Linked DNA regions of Neurospora crassa OR74A. The protein of the gene in region 2 purifies or fractionates together with the protein of the main gene of each other region. This does not show direct contact. Links are inferred from orthologs where the notes say so. Each region holds a gene or a part of one and is shown on either strand. Other genes may lie near its edges. The genes, in order: NCU06622, NCU09880 and NCU02685.

What was found.
Region 1: the proteins of NCU09880 (region 2) and NCU06622 purify together in Saccharomyces cerevisiae (affinity purification with mass spectrometry; 3 studies listed by BioGRID). This does not show direct contact. The link is inferred for Neurospora crassa OR74A from reciprocal best matches to the Saccharomyces cerevisiae genes SMX2 and LEA1.
Region 3: the proteins of NCU09880 (region 2) and NCU02685 purify together in Saccharomyces cerevisiae (affinity purification with mass spectrometry; 5 studies listed by BioGRID, with this or other methods). This does not show direct contact. The link is inferred for Neurospora crassa OR74A from reciprocal best matches to the Saccharomyces cerevisiae genes SMX2 and BRR2.

Annotation. Positions count from the first base shown.
Region 1 is NC_026504.1:1,833,257-1,837,162, forward strand, and holds NCU06622 (U2 small nuclear ribonucleoprotein A'), read left to right. Parts: upstream 1-1,506; 5' UTR 1,507-1,805; coding exon 1,806-1,884; intron 1,885-2,002; coding exon 2,003-2,043; intron 2,044-2,154; coding exon 2,155-2,415; intron 2,416-2,532; coding exon 2,533-2,667; intron 2,668-2,723; coding exon 2,724-2,966; 3' UTR 2,967-3,360; downstream 3,361-3,906. Other genes in the region: NCU06621 (hypothetical protein), read left to right, coding at 1-814; NCU06623 (hypothetical protein), read right to left, coding at 3,361-3,906. UniProt on the Saccharomyces cerevisiae protein: Involved in pre-mRNA splicing. Associates to U2 snRNA in a MSL1 dependent manner and is required for normal accumulation of U2 snRNA. Required for the spliceosome assembly and the efficient addition of U2 snRNP onto the pre-mRNA.
Region 2 is NC_026501.1:6,357,729-6,361,431, forward strand, and holds NCU09880 (small nuclear ribonucleoprotein SmG), read right to left. Parts: upstream 2,538-3,703; 5' UTR 2,424-2,537; coding exon 2,394-2,423; intron 2,253-2,393; coding exon 2,181-2,252; intron 2,122-2,180; coding exon 2,047-2,121; intron 1,988-2,046; coding exon 1,907-1,987; 3' UTR 1,589-1,906; coding exon of another isoform or gene 1,395-1,588; 3' UTR 1,277-1,394; coding exon of another isoform or gene 952-1,276; 3' UTR 648-951; downstream 1-647. Other genes in the region: NCU09881 (hypothetical protein), read left to right, coding at 1-159; NCU10125 (hypothetical protein), read left to right, coding at 952-1,276, 1,395-1,588; NCU09879 (hypothetical protein), read left to right, coding at 2,867-2,969, 3,069-3,703. UniProt on the Saccharomyces cerevisiae protein: Plays a role in pre-mRNA splicing as a core component of the spliceosomal U1, U2, U4 and U5 small nuclear ribonucleoproteins (snRNPs), the building blocks of the spliceosome.
Region 3 is NC_026501.1:3,198,407-3,202,551, forward strand, and holds the start of NCU02685 (pre-mRNA splicing helicase), read right to left. Parts: upstream 2,893-4,145; 5' UTR 2,779-2,892; coding exon 1-2,778. Other genes in the region: NCU02686 (hypothetical protein), read left to right, coding at 3,746-3,944, 4,059-4,145.

The DNA.
Region 1 (3,906 bases), on a different chromosome or scaffold from region 2:
GGGAAGGGGACGCCCATCAAAAAAGTCTACATCTTCCCATGCGTCAAGGGAAGTGGCAGAGCAGCAGCGAACTTCAGCTGGGATCCCGCTTCCGGAGGCCCAAGCCCCGGTCGAGACCCAGGTCGAGCTTGAAACCGAGCGCCGCTTATCAGCTTCAACTCCGAAAGAGGCGAGCGTTGAAGCGGCAGCAGAAGAACCGGTTCCGGAACATTCGCCCCGGGCCTCCCCTCTTAGAGCGGCCGTCACTCGAGCTGCGCCGACACCAGCCAAACTAAACAAGTCTCTTCCTCCGCCGCCATCTGAGTCCCCAGATCACCTGTCTCAGCCGCTTGCTACACCTCAGGCACCTACAGTCGCGAGTGTACCTCAAGAACAGCCAAGCGTCTACCGCTCGCCTTCAATGCAATCCTCGAATGCAGAGAACCGACCCCCATCGCCGAAGCAAATGACCCCAATAGTCGAACGTCATGCTCTAGCACCAATGGCTACCACACCGGACAGGCCCACTTCTCCTTCCAAACGGACGATTCTGGGTGCCCTTCAAAGCACTAAGCCTTGGACCGCGGCAGATCTAGACAATATATTCTCGCCCAACAAGAACGACTACGATAAGGAAGACGGCATTGACAAACTCTTGCACAAGGGCAGTGAGCTCACGAGCCCGGAAAAGCGGATGACCGTGGAGGAGTGGATCTATCATAATGCCAACTTGGCTGAGCAGAGATTGAAGAGGGAATGCGAGGAGATGGTCCTGCTGTTTGAGAAGCAGGGTGCCAGAGCGATGGAAGCTTTGGAGGGGCTTATCGTCGAGTAGTGAGTGAGTGGCACGACCCTTGGGCACCAAATTATCAGCATAAAAGGACGAGAGGTGTGGATTCGCATACTAAATCCCGCTTCTGGTTCAAGGTCGGGCAAATTCTGTGTGTGTGTGATACCAGGTAATGGACATGGAACTTGCGTGATGCGTTACATAGCAAGCTTATTGTGTCAGTGACTTTGGCTTCTGGTTTGAGTAGCATGGAAGGCGTCATTCGACGTCCGGTTAGACGATGTAGGGATAGCATTGTTGGTGACGTTACAATGGAATTGCACAATAGTGTGCATCATAACGAAACAAGCCCTAAAGTTACAGCTGCAGGTTCTTTAGATGATGCCGGGTTGGGGATCTGGACTAAAGAGCGAGTGTGATGAAAGTGGTTTTGGTTTTTCCATAGCGGGCGGTTAGTGGTTGTGAAAGCGTTTACACCAAGAAGTAGAACGAAAACTTGACAGCAACCTGGCGAGATAGCGAGTAAGAAACATTTTAGGCCAACAAGAGGGCAGAAAATGAACATATAATATCTGACTCTAGTACCCTAGTCTTTCAGACACAAACCGTGTCGACTCTGTTTAGGAGCTCCGTGTGGTTGCGACTTGCAAGTAATCCGACGCGCAAGGGTTAGGGTTACTACATCGTCCGTTTTTTTTTTGCGGCGCTGTCCATGACTTCATTGGGGCAGGCAGCCTTGTCAATCTACTTTGGTAACTTCACTACAGCCACCAATTACGAACCACGCGACGCGCTTCAACCTTTTGCTTCTTTAGTTGACTTCCATCAATTTCAATCTCGAAGGCGAACACAGGACATACGGCAATTCTCCTGGCTGTAATCAATAATTAATCACCTGTTTGCAAAGCCCCTTTGCGCCGCCGTATTACAAAAGCACCACCAGCAACAACCATCACAAGGTACCGACCGGCATCGCAGTAGTAGTAGCAGCGACAGCTCGACAGCTCCCCGTCGTCGTTGCACTCCCGTCGTCACAATGAGGCTGACGGCAGACCTTATCAACAACTCCCTTTCCTATCTCAATCCGCTTAAGGAGCGAGAGATAGACCTCCGAGGTGCGTTCCATCGAGAAGAGCAGATACTGCACGGTTGATCTTCAAGTTTCCAAAAGCGCGTACAAAGAACAGAGTTGATATATCGAAAACCTATGTTGGGTTGGGATACATGCAATAGGACACAGAATACCTGCTATTGAGAACTTGGGCGTTGCTGGGGTAAGTTTCTCCCTTCTCCTGGTTCTTCCTCTACTGCTAGTCCTGCTACTGGTAGCCCGTTTCAACCAAATTACCAATTAATGCAGTTTGCTAATCCGGTCGCTACTACAGCCCCACGATGCCATTGATTTCACCGACAACGATATCCAAGTGCTGGGCAACTTCCCGCTCTCTCCCCGCATACGCACCCTCCTGCTCGCCCGCAACAGGATCGCCCAGATCCAGTCGACCCTACCGAATGCGACCCCGAACCTGAAGAACCTCGTCCTGGCGTCCAATAATATTGGCGAGCTGGCGGATTTGGAGGTGTTGGGAAGGTTTCCAAGGCTTACGCACTTGGTCTTGACGGACAACCCCGTTACCAAGAAGGAGGTACGTCACACAACGCCCTTTCGTCGCCCAGTGTTATGCGGCTGAGAGAGAATCGGAGACGGGGGTGGCAAATGGAATGAATGTACGGAATGGCTGACAATGTTTGTCGACACACAGAACTACCGCTACTGGGTCCTCTGGCTGTGCCCTCAGGTTCGCTTTCTCGATTACGTCAAGGTCAAGGACGCCGAGAGGCAGAAGGCGAAGGAGCTGTTTGGAACCGCTGATGAGCCGACGGAGTTGGCCAAGACGGTATGTACCTTGTCTTCTTTTTCAATGTCATGACAACCCTGCTAACATGCAAACAGATAAAGGGAATCAAGAGCAAGACCTTTGACGTTGGCGCCAGCTCCGCCAACGGTGCGGCCGGCAGTGGTCCTTCCTCGAAACTTTCGCGTCTCAAGCTCACAGAGAAAGAGAAGAAGAAGTTGCAGGATCTGATCAAGAAGGCCGACAGCTTGGAGGAAATCATCAGATTGGAGAAGGCGCTCAACGAGGGACGGCTGCCACCTGGCATTATCGCCGAGGATGACGATGCCATGGAGGAGTAAGGAGGAACCAAGGTGACGGGCACCTGACGAACGTGGTAGATCAGGTTGCTATATGTTCGTGATATGATGGCTTGCAGAGGTGACGAAAAGGGGGAGGACGGCACTTCAAAGAGCTTACCATTTGTCGGCGTTCGGTTCTAGATGGGGCTTACTGCAAAATAACTGTATACCAAATTGCGCAAATTTGCTGGGTTGAAACAGAGATAGTGAAACATGATAGTGGTGTCATGATTTCACCGCAGCAATCGGAGCGGCCTTGAGGAAAGGGACGTTAGGACGAGCATATCAAGGGCCCATGGTCTTTGATTCGGCAACTCTACACCTCTTAACGTCTTGTACTCGCCCGGATATTCAACACGTCTATTCGGCTCTGTATGTATGGACAGTCACTCAACTAACCCGTCATATCCACATCCCCATCATGACCCCGATACTGCTGTGACGCCGCCTGCCTCATCTCCATCTGCAACTGCGCGCTGGGATCCTCGTCCGACGTAGTAGCTGGCGGTGATGCCGACAAGATACCCCTATTCATGCCGCTCATCACACCAGGAGTAGAACTAAATGGTCGTCCCGAAGCCGACGACATGCCCACCACACCCGTCGTGACACCCATATTGGTAATACCGGTATTAACCCCGCCAGCACCGAGTCCATTCACCGGCGCCGCCAGCCCTCCAATGCTTCCACTAGCACCGCTTCCTGTACCAGCAGGCAACCCCCCATTCATAGACATCAAGATGGACGTTTGCTGCAACCCGCCGGACCCCTTTTGCTTCTTGGCATTCGGCAGCATCGCCATCCTATCCCGCTCATCTCCATGATCACCCACTTGTCCCTGCTCCAAAGATAGCATAACCCCCTCGGGAGCTGCCAGTCCTCCCATAACCGGTCCAGGCGCCAAAACGACCGCGGCGGCGGTCCCCGCAGGAGGAACCAC
Region 2 (3,703 bases):
CAGAGTGACCGTGAGTCGATTGCTTCCGCCCGTGAGAAGTACGAGGAAGCTCTAGAAGAGGCACAGTCGTCTTCTGCAAGCAGTAGTGACCAGGAAGAGCTCGAGGAGGCGAGAGAGGAGTATGAAGAGGAGCTCGAGGAGGAGTACTATGATGAATGAATGGAACAACGAAGCGAGCACAGACTGATTTGGGAGATGTGGGCATTCTTTGGTGGAAGTTACGCCGTGACGTATAAATCAGAATAGCTCTCAGGTGTCGCTGGGCTGTTGGAGGGAGCGTCTTGCTACTGTATACCTTATAAACGCCGTGGTTTAACCTTTTATCAATCTTCCATACAACGACATGTATATTGATTGGTGCGCTTTGTCGCAGGTGTCCTGGTGCTGCAACTTACACACCTCAACAATTCGTTATGTGATATCCCCCTATATGCCGGGCCGAGTAAACCAAGATGTCGGAGCTATCAGTTATCTACGGGTAAATGGCGAGGGGCATGAATATGGGTAATAAGAAAAATAACATGCTCATGGTTACTAAATTGCATAGAAGCGACGAGACCAGGCAGTATGTCGCGTTGATGAGCTGGTGAAGAAATCATCTTGTCGTCCCCCCTTAGCCGCGATCTCCTGAAAAACTCCATGGAGTAATAGGATAGGAAGGACTACCTCCGGATGCGGTATCCCATCTACGGCATCAGAGGATCCGATCGTACGAGACAAGTGATTTATGATAGGACGTGACTGCCGAGGACATGTCCCGCGAGATGAGTATTGGCGGCGTGGCTTGCTGAAAGATGTGACTAGATCTCAGAGCCGCCCCAATCCAGTGTGGCAAACAAAGAGTTTACCCCTGACTGCCCTTCATATACCGGACAATGCATCAACGGTACATTTCTTCCGCTTAACCTAAGAAATCAGTCAATGAGAAACCAACTCAGCAACGGCCTCAACATGACGATACACGTTCACGAACACTGCTTGCGCATGGCTAGGCGCGAGGATGGTACACCGTGGTGGGCAGCATTTCCAGAGCCAACTTCGACGCCGGTCCATATCGAGCCCCAGACTGTCCTCGAGCTTCTTGAGCAGCAAGAACATGTCGATGACATGCCCCAATCGCGCAGATTGCTGCTTGTCGATTGTCGCCGGACAGACTGCGCCGGGGGAACTGTCAGCTCATCAATCAACCTGCCCGCCCACAGCTTCTTCCCCACGCGCAAGAGCTTGTACGCTTTGTGCAAACAGGCCGGGATCCAAAAGGTGGTCTTCTATTGTGGTACGTGTTTGACTTTCTCTGTCATTGACTCTTGGGACAGAGTCCAATCAATCCTATGCTCTTTTGAACTCGTACCTCTACCGCCGACCCTCTCTAACACCGATGCTTCTTCCCCCAGGCTCCTCCGCTGGTCGGGGCCCTCGATGTGCCGCCTGGATGCAAGACTATATCAACGAAGTAGGCGGCGATCTTCAGTCGCAGGTCATGACGGGCGGGATTCGAGGCTGGGTGCGGATGTACGGCGACCGCATGGTGGACGGTTATGACGAGAAGACGTGGAAGCAGCTGTTGTCGGAGAAGAGCTGTACGTGATGAAAAACAAAAAAATCCTTTGGGTATCTTTTCTTCGACCACCGCCGCAGATGTTTCCCTTTCTAAGTTGAAGATAATGCAGCTTTCCCGAATACATGCCTCGTGTGAAACTGAACGCCGTACCAGCCAACCCACCTAGCTTTTCACCGTCCAAGACCGCGTGGAACACTGTAGATGTCGTCGTAAAGTGTAAATCGCCTTGGTATATAGTCAAATCCCGTCAATTGCCATCCGCTTATTCCGATGCCTCGCCTTTTGATGTAGGCGTTTGTAGATGCGCAGGGTCGTTTTATCGTGTTGCGAGAAGATGATTGTTGATTAGCCGCGCTGTCCTCCCCTCTCATCGCCGCCGATTCTCTCGAGAGCCTCCATCATCACAACGGAGTTACCACGAATGGTCTGTGTGCACATTCGTCAGCAGGAGACACGTCAGCACCTTTCTACAATGATAAACATACCACCATGCCAAGCTTGACCTTCTCACCACCATCCTTCTCCTCAACAGCATCGTCCAAAACAATGTTCAAGAAGACCTATGACGTCGCGAACCGTCAATCATCATGTTCGAATTCGTAAAGGGGAGATCTCGTACATCGTAGCCACGGAGAACACCAATGACCTTGCGGCTGCCGTTGAGTTGGACGAAGAGCCTCTTGTCGAGGTACTGGTTGGAAAGTGGTCGGTTAGCTCACTACACCATACTAAACAAACAATAACATGGAGTTCGAGATGCGACAATGGCATAGTCTCGACCAGCCAGCTGCCATTCAGCGTGAAAGGCAATTCTCCAAGAGTAAGTTCTTACCTTCTTCAGTTCAGGTTGTGCGGGCGCCATTGTATCTTGAGGTTGTGTTGGTTGTCTGGGATGGTCTCGAGAGAGTTGCTGCAATGAATGGCAATGGCGTCGTTCTGGCTGGGAACTCTCCACTGAAACAACCTGGAAGGCGGGCCTTGTGCAGCGCGTGCAATCGCGACCATCCCCAGTGATTTTCGGCCGCCAGGCCATCACGTGGGGACACTGATAAGATAAGAAACCGCAATTCGCGTTGCCCGTCTTTGGGTGATTGCAGTGTTCAGTGCAGTGGTGACATCCAGTCGCCCACCAGCGTCATTCTCCAGGGTGCATTTCGAAGCTTCCTAGCTGTCTGGACACCTTTTTGCACTACAAACTTACCTGTAAACAACACGCCCGCCTCAATACTACATCACTGTATTACAAACTCCCTGTCAGACAACCTACTTCCATTCTACACTTTACTCAAGTCGATCATCACAAAAATGAGCTCTTTTGGAAAGCGCAAGCCACGCATTATCCAGACCTTTGACGATGAGGATGGCGACCTTCCTACGGTGCTTGGAGGAGAGGAGCCGAAGAACGAACGTAAGTTGCTATATGGCCATGCCCATCCCTTTCCAGCATAGAAAATCTCAGTGCTGATACCAAACCAAAGAACAAGCAAGCTGATACGCCTTCGAACAGAACCAGTACCGCAAGGACCGACCAAGTTTGGGCGCAGCAAGCCTACTAAATCTTCGTCACTACGAAGAACGATCAAGATCAACGACGGTAACGATAATCCACAAGAAACCAGCGGCGACGCAATCCAACCTACGTCAACCAGCACAAGTACGGCACCCGAGGTAACAGAAGCCGAGGAGGACACTGGTGTGCCGCTCGTAGTACGGCCCGGTTTCGGCCGCTCAGTCTCCAGCAAGAAGAAGCGCATCTCAAAACTATCATTCGGAGCCAGCGAGGGCGACACGGAAGATGGCGGCAATGATACGACAACAACTGCCAGCAGCGACGTGGTCAGCGCCCCAAGCAAAAAGTCGCTGAGCCAACGAGTTGCCGAGAAGAACGCGCTTCGCAAGTCCGCCCTGACCGCACGATTCGGCACATTTGGCGCCGACGAAGAGAAGCCTCGGTACAGCAAAGAATACCTTGAAGAACTCCAAAGCTCCACGCCAGCCACACCACAGAATCTCGCCTCGCTAAGCATCATCGACGACGATGACGACGACAGCCTCAAAACCCACAGCGCACCGTTGCCGGAGGCATCTGCCGCGCCCGGGACAACGGGCGACGCCATGGACCTCGACCCCTCTGAGCTTGAC
Region 3 (4,145 bases), about 3.2 Mb from region 2:
TCCCTGGGTGGTGATGATGATACCTTCACCATAGGTGTCGAACTGAGGACGACCGGCACGACCAAGCATCTGCAGCACATCCTGAGGACTGAGCTCAACCCAGCTACCTTTTTCAGGCGAGTACACTTGCGTGCCCTTGATGATGACGGTATGGGCTGGAAGGTTGACACCCCAAGCAAGAGTGGCTGTGCACACAAGAACCTGGATATGGCCACTGGCAAACAAATCTTCGACGTCGGTACGATCAGCACGACTCATACCAGCATGATGGATACCGAAGCCATAGGGCAAGATATCCTTCAGATCGGTGTTGTTGACAGAGTTGGAGGCTTCGCTCAGGACTTCACGGGTTCCGGCGTCGTGCTTCAAGATCTGGTTGATGGTGTCCATTTCCAAAGCCTTGTCCCTGATGTACCTGGCGGTCTTTGCCGTTTCCTTTCTGGAATGGACAAAGATGAGCATCTGATTGCGATTCTGTCCTACGTGCTCCAAGACCTTTTGGTAGGTGATATCATTCATGGTCTTTAACTGCTTGATGGCCTTTCTGTCCGTGACGCCGATAAACTCTTGACGGAGGGGGCAAGGGCGGAAGGTACCATCGAAGTGGAAGAGCCCGGTGTTCGTATCCACACGCAGGAAGCTCGCTACGTCGCGGTAGTTGGGCAGAGTGGCAGACAAGCCCACAATGCGAACAGGCTCACCGGTCTGCTCTGTCTTGCGGATGGTTCTGGCGACAATGCTTTCAAGCACAGGACCACGGTCATCGTGAAGGAGATGGATCTCGTCAATAATAATCAGGCGGACCAGGTTGGTGTAGGAGAGATCAGTAGCCTTTCTCGTGATGACATCCCATTTTTCGGGGGTCGTAACGATAATCTGCGTTTCCGAGATCTGTTGCTTAGTAAGTTGCCGATCGCCAGTGAGTTCGGCCACCCTGATACCGAATGGTTCGAGACGCTTTCCGAAGTTGCCGACCTGTTCTTGAACAAGGGCTTTCAAGGGCGCGATATAGACGATCTTGAAGGCGTCCAGGTCGATCTCGCCGGCTTCGTTTCTATGCTTCCCGATCTCACGAAGGATGGTGAGCATCGCCACGTTGGTCTTGCCAGAGCCCGTCGGAGCACAGACAAGCATGTTTCCATCATCACCAAAGGCAGTAGGATAGCACTTTGACTGAATCTTGTTTAACGATTTGGCCGTGCTGAAAGGTATCTGAGCCCACTCAGGCATTTCAGAAATCGGGACATGGGCGTCGCTGGGGTCGTTGCGCTTCTTTGGTGGGGGCACATGGATTTCTTCATAGCCCTTGAAGGTGCGCTTTGTCGAGCCCTCGGGAAGTCGTACTTTGGGATTGGTCATAAGGTGGTTACCCTGATCGAATATGAGGTTCTCCAGGTTTATTAACTTGCGTGGCTGCAGACCTCCGACTAGCTGTCCCTCGGGACGCTCAGGCTTTTGGCCTTCCTTATCAGCAAAGGCCCCCGAGTCAATGTCCATCTTGATGTCCATCTTGATCTTCTTCTGGCCGCCGTCGGTCTTGCCTTCCAGCTCGTCCAGAATCCAACGCAGACCCTCAGAAGCCATCTCCCGCTTGATCGTATTTCTCTCCTCCTCATTCTCAGCTCTGGCCAGCCGAGTAAGCCATACGACCTTCTCCCGGTTAGCAATGAGTTTTTGCACAAGCTCGTGGTGTTCGTAATCAAAAAGCTCCATCAAGTCGTTTTCGATGTCGCGGAGCTGCTTTTCTTCACCACCTGGCTCATCGGGCTCGCCGGAAAGAGTCTTGAGCGCAGACATTGTCTTATCATGCTGGATATGTGCGTCGGGATATAGCCGGCCAATCTGGCGTTGTAACCAGAACGCATCGATATCTCTGGCGGGTATGGAATTGTCGTCAGACCCGCTTTTCTTCCCTTCCGGTGCTGAATCGATGACCATGGCCTCGCCGTTCAGAATATCTTCGACCACCTCCTCCTGACCTCCTTCACCATCGACCACCTCGTTGCTGTCAGGCAGCTCTTCATCCTCCGCAAAATCCTCCTCATCGGAAGATTCGTCCCGAACAACATCAACCATGCCATCATCATCTTCATCGTTCTCGAAGTTGACCGCAACACCCTGGCGACCGTCAATCTCGTCGTCGCCTTCTTGCCTAGCATCGCCCGCATCCTCGTCTTCATCTTGAGCGTCGTAATCCGTGATCTTTTTGCCGAGATTTATGAGCTCGTTGAACTGCTTGGGCCCCATCGAGACTCCAAGAATATCATCAACCTCCTTCTTCTTGTCAAAATCCTTCAGGTCGTCATCCTTGAGATATTCGAGAACCGCGTCAGCAGCACTGCGAACGACCTCATGGGGCACGTCGCCCAAGTGTTCGGCGACAATGGTGAGGATAAGGTTGAAGGCATCGCGCGTCGGCTGCGTTCGAGGGCGGTAGCGGAGACCTTCGATAAGCGCGTCGGCGCCAGTAAGAATACCTCCACCTCTTGTAGCGGACTCGAGTTTGCCCTTCTTCTTCTCTCGTTGCAGGATATCAGCACCTTCCCTTAGACTGCCCCGCTCGACGTCGGGCATGGCGCCCGCCTTCTTGGGCTTTGGTGCTGAGTCGCGAGCGACTCTGGAGCCCATATCTTTGATGGACAGACGCCCGGCTAGGGACTCGGGGTCTCCCGTGGCCTCATCGGTACGCCTCGTGACGAAACGACGGTCCGCCTGGAGAACCAGGTTGGACATGGCCGAGTATTTATATTGCGACACATCGCGGTGGTGGTCCGTCATCTTGCCAGCTCGGAGAAGAAAAAAAGAAATCTATGAAATGTTTTGAGGTATACGTCAAGATCGAAGTAGAGGTCGTAGCGGATGGAAGAGTCTCGATCTGGTGATATCTTCAACTCGGCCTTTGGGGATAAAATGTGCTTGTTCTTGCGTGCACGCAGTGGCGATAAATTAGCCCGAGCCCGGCCCGAACCAAGCGTTGGTTTTGCTGGCTGATAAGTAGTATTTCGCCGGTCGCATCGATGGGTAGATCAAGAATCTGGGGTCGGGCGGAAACAGAGATGATGGGTTTCCGACAGAAGTCTGTCGCGGTTGTCGCGAAAGGAAGGTTGGAGTTTGGCGTTCAGTTTGGAAAGGTTGAGCCAGAGGCGTGGTTCTTGCCAGCCAGCAGGAACTTACTTGGCTTGGTAGGGGTGGCAAGCGGTGCAGAGATAGGTGTGGCTCCAGTCATGACGGCTGGAAATTTTTATGCAATGCTGCCGTCGTCGACTCTCATTGGCTGCCTGGACAGCACGTAAACACACTGAACAGCTGGAGCTTGACCTTGCTGTCAGGGCGGTGTTAGTGCATAGGCGGAGACCCCGTGGGGTGTGTAGAGGTTGGTCAAGGTGCACTAACAAACATCCTAAAGGTGGTAGGCACAATCATCAACACGATCTCAACCCATCGAGCAACTCGAGATAGGTGGCAGAAGTCTGATCCATGGGCTCCGACTTCTACGATACCTCTTTTTCATACCACCAAGAGGGACGAATCGTATTACTTCACGAGCTATTTGAACAATCATTTGAATGCTGGAAACTGAGATACCTCTGGTTCATACCACGCTCTCTTATGTCCGTCCTGCTCACATCGGGCTGAGCTCATCGATGATCACAGTCATTCACAATTTGACCAATAAGCTGTTTTATGCCTTGATATGAAAAGAAGCCAATACTGATAGACAGGTCAAGTTGGAATTATCTACACGATGGATTCCTTTCGAGAAACGCTAGAAGCTGTTCAGAAGGTGCTGCAACCATACACCAGGCCTCGCGAGGAAGCCGCCCATATCAGACGGATCTTGACACTTCACCTCAGTTCGGGCTTGAAAGACGGAGCAACGCTGACAGAACCGTTGTCTCTCACCGAGTCAAGTGAAGTACCCTCCTACTCACAAGATACTAGAGGTCTGTATAGGGAATTCCTCGAAGCATTGCGCGCGAACATCAAAGCCCGCAAAGAATACCACACACTCTCACAAAAGCGCAGTCATCATGAGGTTTCTGTCCCTCAACCAACAGAAATACAGTCTAACTACCTTCTCAACCATCTTACCAACCTCAAAATACAAAAGAAGCAAGAGAAACTGTTAGTGGTCAAGAAAAACC